Regions from separate parts of the Mus musculus genome. Here region 1 is reported to be linked to region 2. The links are microRNA targets in miRTarBase. Many come from high-throughput screens and were not tested one by one. Region 2 holds a microRNA gene; the other region holds the end of a gene's coding sequence.

Region 1 (5,073 bases), not on the chromosome of region 2:
ACTTGTGGGAGTTTGTTTAGCCTGCCGACAATCAGCTTGGAATAAACAGAGTTCTGTTTGAATTCCTTTGCTACTACGGCTGGATGTAACCCTAGGTCACTGTGGATGTAACCCTAGGTCACTGTGGACCTCAGTAGCCTGAGATCCCTTGAGACCAGCTCAGTAGCTCAAAGGATCCTTCAAGAGGCTCAAGGGTGAGCCGGGGACAAGGTGTCCCCAGTTGTTACTTCTGTGTTCCAGCCCAGTTCTGGAGATGCCCTACAAAGCAGCCCCGTGTCACCGTGTTGCTGTGTTCTGTCACCTCGTTAACAGGTCACATCACTAATCATTCATGTGGAGTGTTTAACCTATCATTTTAAGTTACTCCATGCATGCTGTAAATCATTCATTCAGATGCTGAAGCTGCCTGGTTTGTTTCATTTGACTTCAGTGTGTTTGGAGTATGTTGGGACTGTGGCCCACATGACACTGCAGATCTGAGTAACACTGTCTCCCTCTCTCGGCTCTGAAGGAACTGCCTTGTTCTGCGCTCGCGCCCTCCCTAGAGCCCTGCTTTTCCAGGCCAGAGAGACCAGCAAACCGCCGCCTTCCATCCCGTTGGGCCCCACCTTCCCCCACTGCCTCACAGTCACAGTCACCCGGACACCCGATGTCCATGGAGGAACACGGTGAGGAGGACCCACCAGAGGAGAAGCCACACCTGTGACAGGATGCAAGCTTGCGTGGATGATCGCCGGAATAGTTCACTGTAATTTGCATAACCAGACCATCACCGCCATCAGCCAACCTCCATCCCAAAGGAAAGATGTAGATCCTTTCTCAAGGTCGAAGGATGCTTTTAAAAACACACGGCTACTGAATGTTCAACCTGGTAAACTGAGATGTTTCGGGAATGAAACAGTAAACGTGCCTGTAATCATTTTTTCATAGCTCAGAAAACTATTTTTGTCTCCCATCTTTTTTACACATGATATATTAAACAAAAAAGGTAAATAAGGTATAAATAGATTTAAAGAGTTTTAAAATGTACATTTGAAGAGATTCCGAGCACCCTTGTTCTCAGTTCTGCCTGCCTGTTGAATTTGCACTGTTCCGTTCTGGTTGGGTTTCTCCATGTTGAGTTCGGAGTGTTCTAAGTTAAATTTTATTTTGTCCAGTCTTAATTTTTCAGGAGTCTTTCTTAACGCTTTAGACTGTCTTAACTCAGTGAACTTTTTGTAATGATAAGGCCGTGAGGCCAGAAGACGAGAGTGTCTGTCATCTGAAAGGATGCAGGCCAACCTTGCTGAAAAGGTACGGAGCCCTTCAGATAGACTTAAGACTCTGCGTGACCCATCTGCCCAGCCTGACCGCACGTCCTCGGGCACCTGTACATACACTGCTCTGTCCCTGCCCTCACCTGCGTGTGTGTCAGTCTGGTCTACTGTAACTTGTTGTGAAGTTCCTTGTACCGTGTGTACTGTTGCTGTTGGTCTCTTGTACCAGTAAGACAATGGCTCCATTTTTTTTAATTATTGTTAAAACATTAACTGATGGTGTACAAATCTCACTTGACATTTTTCTTGTTTAAGGAAAAGCACCATAAAAAAAAAAATAAGGAGGCCAAACCGAGACAGACAAAGGTGCCTCAGGTCTGCCTGAGACCACGGTGACATGGAAATAAAGTCCTTACAAGAAAGCAACAGGGTCTTGGTGTCACCGTTTATTGCTGGCTCCTTCTTCTCCCTTGTCTTCTTCAGCTCTAAATGGAAAGTGTCTCTGGGTTTTCCTGTAGCGGACAGAGTGCAGGGGACTTAAAGGAAGAGCTGCACACACTAGGAAAGAGGGACACAGCAGCGCTAGGCATCACTCTGTCTCCGTGCAGATTTTGCAGCCCAGCGTGTTGGTGTTGTAGGTTGGGGTTCCAAAGAGACTGTGGGGGAGCACAGAACTGTTTTTGAAGGACCAGAGTTTCTGGCTTTCAAGTTTCATTAACCCAACCGTTCCCTTCTTTTTCAGATGAGGTAATAAGGCCTCTTCCCAGGATTGTGTAGTTCCTCCTTAAATGGCCTCAGGACAAGTGTTAGTGAGGAGATGAGCAGTTGCAGTCTTGATGTCATATTGGTAGAGACATTAAGCCGTGCAGCCACTGTGGAAGACACCCTAACATTCCTTTATCCAACCAACAGTTACTATGTAGTCATCTATTCCCAACTTGGATACACGGAGCTTCTGAGTTGAAATAAGACTCATATAGATACTTTTCACAGCAGTGTTACATAGAAAAATCAAAAATAGAAACAGCATACATGGCCACCCACAAAGGAGTGGAGAAACAAAATGTGTACACACTGTAGAATATTAGCTAGCAGTAAGGAAACAGGATGTGTGGTACTCTCTTCAATGTGGGAGAACCTTGAAGACCTAGTAGATGAGCTATATCAGTCATAAAAAGCTATGATTTCCACTCCTGTGACATTTACTAACCCAGTCATTTGTAGAGACAAATTGAAGTAGTGGTGACCAGGAGTTGAAGGCAAGAGACAAGGGAGTTGGCATGAGATGGTAGCACAGCTTCAGTTTATCATGAAGCAAAGATCCCGGAAGTAAAAGTCATGGCTGTCCCGCATCAAGAGACACTTGATGCCACCGAATTAACACTTTAAAAGGGCTAGCACAGGAAAGCTCTTGGACACTTTACCACAATCAAACCTTTTTAATGTAGAAAATAAAAATTTTCACATAGCCACACTAGATAAAGCCACAAAGAACTTCTCAGCGGATCGGTGGTTCGTGGGAGGGAGCTGGGGTCCGGCGCCATGGCCGTTCCTAGAGTGTTTGAAGCTTTGGGCTCAGTCCCTAGTCTTAAAGACAGAAAGCACTGCTGACAGGTGCAGAGCAGCACAGCGGGAGCCAGCAAGGAGGGGCTGGGATGCTCACAGCATGAGTTGGAACTGCTGTCTCCAAGTCTGTGTCCTCTAGATCCTTACTCTGAGACAAGCATCCTAGGTATTGGTGCTGATGGTGCCCATCCCCTTGTTAGTTTGGGAATCCTAGAGAAAGACATTCTCACCAAGGTTTCGTCAAATTCGATGCTCCTTATCGCTTTGGAATAAGTCATATCATGGTGTTGTTCCAAAGCTACCTGAGCCAATACTGTTGACAGGCTGGCCCAGAAAATGCATTGGAACTGTTAGAATAAGGGAAAGAGGATGCCGGGAAGGCAGCATGGGCTTCGAGTTGCTAAAGGACAACCCCAAAGTTACAGAAACAAGATCTGGTCACCAGAAAATTGGTTGGACAAGGTAAAGTTCCCAATTGGTGCAGACAGTGTAAGCGTCATTCCAGTGTCAATGACGGAGAGATTTCATAAGAACAGCCCCATCAGGTAGCTGGCTAGTTGCAGAGTTCATGAACAAAGCCATCTGGAACCTCCAAATACTATCATGGAGTCACTCAGACTTTAAAAGGCAAGACTGTCATTTCCCGCTGGTCAGTCCAAACGGGTGCTGAGGCAGTTCTGTGGATTTGGGGTCCACTGTGAAGGCAGAGCAGCTGTCTGCAGGGAAGGGTCCAAGAGAAGCATCTCCACCCGTCATTATTCATGCACCAGCTGCTCTCCTGGCCTAAAGAAAGATGTGGCAGATTCCTGAGACCCAGGGAACAAGACTCACCCACCAGCATGCCCTGCCCAGTGGGGGACGGCAGCTCCAGCAGCCTGGAGACCTCAGCAAACCACAGTGGATGGCTGTATACTTGTTCCAGGAGGTAACATGCTATGTTAAGGTTTTCAGTGTGTGCATCTAGTTTTTAATATATGTGTACATAATTCTAATTATTTTTCTTTACCCTTGTCTATAAAATGACTTAGGAGATCTGCAGATATTTAATCTCTTAAATTTTTATTAAATGTATTTAATGTTTTGCTATGCATAATGAATGTCACACTATGTCAAGCAAATCACCATTTCCAGCTCACGCAGTAACTCCCCCGCCCCCTTTCAGCAAGAGCCCCTGAACATCTCTCCGTGTAGCCCAGATGACCTTATCAATGCCTTAAATGACATCCAAGACCAGTGACAGCAGGTAAGCTGAGGTTCATTCGGGTCTCTGAGTTTCAAAGGAAACCACTTTCCAGGTTTTAGACATTAGGAAAGGAAAATGGCTCAAGTCTCTTACAAGGGAAAAAGGTATAAATTAATTCTGCTGTGGGGAGCTGGTTCATGACGACTAAGAGGGCTCCCCAGGTGCTCTTTGCATGTAGTTGGGGTAGGAGTGGGGTGGGAATCTAATCAAAGTGCTGTCACTGTGAAACATCCTTTGTTGCAGGAAGTGGGGGTCGCCATGGCTAGAGGGAGGGGTAGAGAGCTCTGGAGAAGAGCCGAGGAGAAATCAAGGGGTCGTGGGGAGCCCCAGGGGCCCACGGGGAAGGGTTTGGGTTTTCTAGGTGGGAAAACAAAGGCTTTGGGCAGACTGATCAGAGGAGCTCCAGTGTGTGTGTGCATGCACATCTCCAAGCTGGAACCACCAAAGGAGGGAGAGGTGTGGGGTAGGGGTGGGGCTCCCAAGCTCAAGGCTCACAAAAGAACAAGGCAGCAGTGGGGTTCACTGCCAAGAACTACACACTCGCTAGGAACCCAAGAGCCACCCCTAGCTGTTCTGTTAAAAGCCCTTATTTATTCTCCTGTAGCCTCCTAGGCCTGGCAGCTAAAGAGCTTGTTCCTCTCAAAGTCTCTCCCTTATGCAGCTAGGTCCTCGGAGCTTTGTGCTGGGTTTCTTTAAGGATAGGCACTTGTAAGCAATCATTGGACATTGATACTTCAGCAAAAGTGTCTGTCTGTCTGTGTGTTTGTCTGTGTGTCTGTCTTACCGTTCTGTAAGGGGAGAGCTGAGGTCTCTGGATGTAGGCCTGACTGGAGAGAGCTTCGGTGGCCCAGTTATCAGTGCTGCACAATACATCTGAATGGAATGGAAATGATGGAATCTTGACCTGATTTCCTTAGCCTAGTTCTTGTGGGACTAGGATGACCTATCTCACCGAAAAGATTTGTTCCGTGATTTTATAGCAAACTACTAACCTTCAGCAAAGACTTC
Region 2 (5,073 bases):
GGTCTTCTTCTTCTCACACTTCAATTTTGGTGTTATGGAGATGCCAGCTGAAGGTGACACACAAGCACTCTTCCGCAGATGTTGGAACCAGAGAGGCTTCAGAGCAAGGTTTCTGCGCCCACTGCTGCTTATGTCCATTAGGGCAAATCTAAGGTACTTTGACAGATCCTCTGAGACTGAGGATAAAGAGGATGATGAAGAAGAGGAGGAGGAAGATGGTGAAGAAGAAGAAGGGGAGGAGGAGGAAGATGGTGAAGAAGAAGAAGGGGAGGAGGAGGAAGATGGTGAAGAAGAAGAGGAGGAGGAGGAAGATGATGAAGAAGAAGAAGGGGAGGAGGAGGAAGATGGTGAAGAAGAAGAAGGGGAGGAGGAGGAAGATGGTGAAGAAGAAGAAGGGGAGGAGGAGGAAGATGGTGAAGAAGAAGAAGGGGAGGAGGAGGGAGAGGAGGAGGAAGAAGGAGAGGAGGAAGAGGAGGAAGAAGAGGATGAGGAGGAAGAGGAGGAGGAAGAGGAAGAGGAGGAAGAAGAGGAGGAAGAAGAGGAGGAGGAGGAAGAGGAGGAAGAAGAGGAGGAGGAAGATGAGGAAGAAGAGGATGAGGAGGAAGAAGATGAGGAGGTGCCCAGCATGGTGCGGGAGCTACTGGCTGCCATCCCGATGGACCATATCCTCAATGGCTTACTGGCTCACTTCAGTGTGGCCCAGATCCGGGCCGTTGTCCTAAACTTCTTCCGTGGCCTGCTCTACTGGAAGAGTCTCCTGGGTGTGGCAGCTGTCCTGGTGATGTTGAGAGCAAGGCAGCCCCTCTCCCCAGTGCCTGCCCCTAATTTGGAAGTGGCCAGGCCTCAGCACCGGCACACACTCCGACTCATCCTGGACTCGACCCTCATTGCGAGTAGTGGCATGGCCACAGCCATCGCTCAGTTGCTCAGCCAGATGCCCCCTCTAGTGGGTGCCAACACCCTCCCAGCTCGAGAGCTGGCTGAGCTTTTCCTGGGCCCAAGGTGCTGGCATCGGAATGCTCTGCATTCCCAGCCTCCACGGGGGATGCGCTTCACCCCTGGGTTCTGGTTGACCCTGTGTGAGTTCTTTGGGGTCAGAGTCAACCCTGAGGATGACGTCTTTCCTGACCCTTACCAGCACCGGTACTTGGAACTGCACGTCGTTGGGGATGAAGATGTCGTCTTGCGAGAAGCCCTGCAAGACGACCTGCAACGTTACCGTCAGTGTGGCCTGCATGACGGCCTGCAAGACACCTCGCAGGACGCGCAGGACAACGACGTGCAAGAGGACCTGTTTGGCGACCAGGAAGCGGTCACCTTCAGACCACGAAATCTTTTGGACCCAGAGGTCCTAGATTTCCTCAACAACCGGCTACTCTACACCCTGGGCACCGATGGCCGCCTTACTCTGCTTAGCAGAGATCAGGTGGCCCAGGCCCTCACACGATTCCTGGCCATGGCCTCCAGAATGGCGCTGCCTTCCCCAGCCAGGGAACAGGCAAGGCTAGAAGAGCTATCAGACTCAGATGATGAACTTGACTGAAAACACACCAAGTCACTGTCATTTTCCCTTGTGCCTCGGCCAGCTTCGCTCAGATCCAGCACACCCTCTTGCTACTCCTAACCCAAGGGGAACCCACTTGTGAAGGGCCACAACTTCATCAACCAGCAACATCATCTGTGCTAAAGAACTAGCCAACTATCAGCGTCCCAGAACCAGCCAAGACTGTGTAACCCTAACTGTCCTAACTGTCCGGGCCCCAGGCCCACAAAAGGGAGTGAGACCAATGAGGAGAGAGCAGTGATGAGCAACAGTGACCCCGTCACCCCAGGCCAGATGCAGAGCAGATACAGCAGGTGCAGCCAAGCAAGCAGATGCCAGTGACCCCACCACCACCCCCTGAGTGGCAGGCGGCCACCTGTGCATCCTGGGACACTGACCTTGGGTGCTCCACGGACTTCTACCTCTACACCGGTGCTCCGACTCCCCTGGACACGCCCCTACTCCCTCCCAGTCTCCCAAGGTGCTGTGGTTCCATGCTTTCCACAACCCCAGCCCACCCTGCAAGCAAGTCCACCCCCCCCCCCACAACCCACCCACCCACTACCGGTCTGGTCCGGCTCCATTGACACCTCATCTGACCCTGAACTCTGATCTTACCTGGGCAGAACTGCTCCAAGGAGCATTCGACGTACCAGTGTGACTTACCAGATGGACTGATCCACCCTGAAGGTCCCTGAGACTCAGAGGACCCAAGAAAGGGTGGTAGCAACCAAGTGGGGCTCCCTTTTCCCTCCCCAAATGGACATATGGACAGTGCAGGGGACAGAGACCTTCCATAAAGGAGGGAGCCCCCAAGAGACACTGGTGAAGCCCCAGATACCCAGAGTACTGTGCCAAGGAGCCAAGAGTGCTCTGACCAGACCCACTGCTCACTGCCACAGGAAGGAGAGGTCCTTCCATTGCTTTCCCAACTCATACCTGCTTTTGCCCCATGAATAAAGAGAAGAAAAGATTATCTGACTTTGTGGTTTGTTCTAAAAGGGAGAGGGTGGATAGTAGGAGGCAGGACTGGAGAACATGGAGCATGGGGTCAGAAAGGATGGAGTGTGAAGAGAGGGTTGGGATGGGCAAGGGCAAGGGTGGGAGGGGCAGGGATAGGAGGGCTTGACTCTCCAGAAACAGCTCATGAAGACATGGAGCAACAGGCCTCCTGTCTTCTCCTAAAGGGAGGGAAGTCAATTCACTCTCAAAACTTTGGGCTCCTCTGGGAAATGGACCAAGGGTTTCATGGGGCAGAAGGAGGGTACCCAGAATTCCCAGCCCTCATCTGGTCCCAGCCCTCTAGTCACATGAGAAATGAGGAATGGCCAGACTGTGCTCAATGCCCACAGCTGAGGAGGGTCAACAGGCAGGATGTTTGAGCTTGGATCCCAGAAAAACAGTTCTTAGAACCCAAGACTGCATCCCTCCACGCCCCCTCCAGCCTGCACTGGGGTCACTGTGCCCTTATGGGTCCTAAGGGGCCTCATGACAAGGAATCTACCCCTGACCATAGCACCAGAAGATCATGGGGAGGATCCCAGGTTCAAGGTCAGGGGCTCAGCCTCACTCAGCACTTCCTCCTGTTGCTAAGGAGGCTCCAGTGGCCCCCCACTGGAACCATTCCCACAGTTGGCCCCTGAGATCCTTGCCTTAAAAAAAGCTATCTTGAGGGATACTCTGGGATGGGGAAGGAGCTCCTAGGGGTAGAGGGAAATTGAGCAAATAGTCCCTTACTCACAAACTCTATACTTCCTACCCAGAAAATCTGCACACAAGCTAGGAGTATAAAAACAAGGGCCCCCTCCCACTGTGACCTCAAAGATAGTGGGCAGGTGCAATGAGCAGGGCCCTCACGCCCAAGGGCCCTTTCTTAACTCTGCCCTTTATATCTTGCCTGGAAATGTACCCCTGAGTTAACCTCAAGGGGCCCTCTTTGGCCTGAGAATGTGTCAGACCCCTGGATACCCAGCATGACACCTCCCCCTACCTGCTTTCAGCTCTTTGATCCCATCTATACAGGATCTATAAGCTTGGGTCCCAGAAAAACCCTACTTAGAACGCAAGATTGCATCCCTCCACGCCCCCTCCAGCCTGCACTGGGGTCACTGTGTCCTTATGGGTCCTAAGGGGCCTCATGACAAGGAATCTACCCCTGACGGTAGCACCAGGAGATCATGGATAGGATCCCAGGTTCAAGGTCAGGGGCTCAGCCTCACTCAGCACTTCCTCCTGTTCCTAAGGAGCGTCCATAACCTTAAGGTGGGACTGGGGTCCTATTGGAGGAGAACAAACGTACCAGTCCTGTACCCTCACTTAGTTTACCTGGGCACCTCCAACAAAACTGGGCCTCAAAACAAAACAAAACAATCCTGTCCCTGCTTGGTGAGGACTTCTCTGGCCCAGTGAATGCAGAGATGACTTAGGTCAGGACTACTGCCAGGGGCCCCAAGGCCCTGAGGGCCCCAAGCAAGTGAGAGTGAAGGAGAACTCAGTGAGCCAGCAGCCCGCCAAGAGGCTGCCAGTGATGTTGACTGCAGAGGTGCGTTTACCCACAGCCCGCACGAACACAGACCATAAAGGACAATAAAGGCCCGCAGGCCTACCAATCTACCCAGCAGGGATTTGTCCCCATTAACAGCAAAAGGAGGTGGTCCGGACTGTGAAGAGAGCTGGTGACGTGCTAAAACGTGCTAAAACGGTAGGTTATCAGGTTATCGGCGGAGCCACTTATAGAGATTGAAAAACACAACACAAACCTTTTTTTTTCTCCTGGGGAAGAGAAAAGAAAAGAAAGAAATTGGTGTGAAAGTTCCTGCTAGGGGATGATAACATCACTTCCAACCCTGTCAAGGTGAAAACCAGAGGCCAGGCCCTGGCTGCAGACTCCACCCACCAAGGAGCTGCCCCCACTTCCCAGCTTCAGTCCCCAACCAGAGAGCTCTGACAGCATCCAGGAACAAAGAGGAGCAGGGGCCCTCCCTTGCCCACCTTCCCTGTCCTCTCCATTGCTTCCCCTTATAAGATGTCCCTGCAGGTACCAGAGCCAGTGACAGCACACACACAGGACCCTGAGTCCAGAGTTTTACCAGCTCCTCACCAGGCTGGAGCAGAGATCTCCACATGCCTGGGTAACCTGGGCTAACTTGGGCTACCCCCATAGTAAGAAAAGGAAAAGAAAATATTACCCACCCCTCAACTGTCCCATACACCTTAAGCCCTGGTGCTGGGCCCAGGGGACCACATCGTTAGACACGATCTGAGACCTGAGCAGCAAACCTCATCTGGACTTTGATCCACCTGTGTGAGCTGAGAGACACGCATGACCATCTTGCCACCAAGACCGTGCAGGAGCACAAGTAGGAAGAAGGAGATTGGGGGCAGAGGGGGGGACAGGGAAGGGAGAGACAGTGGTGAAGGGGAGGGGGACTGGGTGTGGCCTGGGTCCTCCCTGTCCTGCCCTCAAATCCTTTCACAGCTTCCAGGCTATTCACTCAGGGTGCTCCTGTGTGCCGGGGCTGGCTGCCATA

Evidence for each region. Region 2 holds the annotated microRNA mmu-miR-3070-2-3p (UGGUGCUAUGGUCAGGGGUAGA, at 3,043-3,064, opposite strand). A microRNA usually pairs through its seed, bases 2 to 8, with sites in the 3' UTR of a target mRNA and lowers its output. Matches are read on the target gene's strand: a 7mer-m8 pairs with bases 2 to 8, a 7mer-A1 pairs with bases 2 to 7 and ends in A, and an 8mer does both.
Region 1: the mRNA of Mtcl1 is a reported target of mmu-miR-3070-2-3p. Seed matches in the 3' UTR shown: 7mer-A1 at 1,576-1,582.

Annotation. Positions count from the first base shown.
Region 1 is chr17:66,333,593-66,338,665 of GRCm38, reverse strand. Mtcl1 (microtubule crosslinking factor 1) reads left to right here. Exons shown (of 14, transcript NM_172963.4): 14 at 512-1,684. The coding sequence ends at 706. Among named protein-coding and RNA genes, the nearest start is that of Mtcl1, 110 kb to the left of the region's middle.
Region 2 is chr12:109,586,639-109,591,711 of GRCm38, reverse strand. It overlaps Mir3070b (microRNA 3070b), which reads right to left and starts at 3,120; the gene lies at 3,032-3,120. Rtl1 (retrotransposon Gaglike 1) reads left to right here. Exons shown (of 2, transcript NM_184109.2): 2 at 1-2,519. The coding sequence ends at 1,543. Mir3070a (microRNA 3070a) reads right to left here and starts at 3,769; the gene lies at 3,681-3,769. Mir431 (microRNA 431) reads right to left here and starts at 1,265; the gene lies at 1,175-1,265. It also overlaps 6430411K18Rik.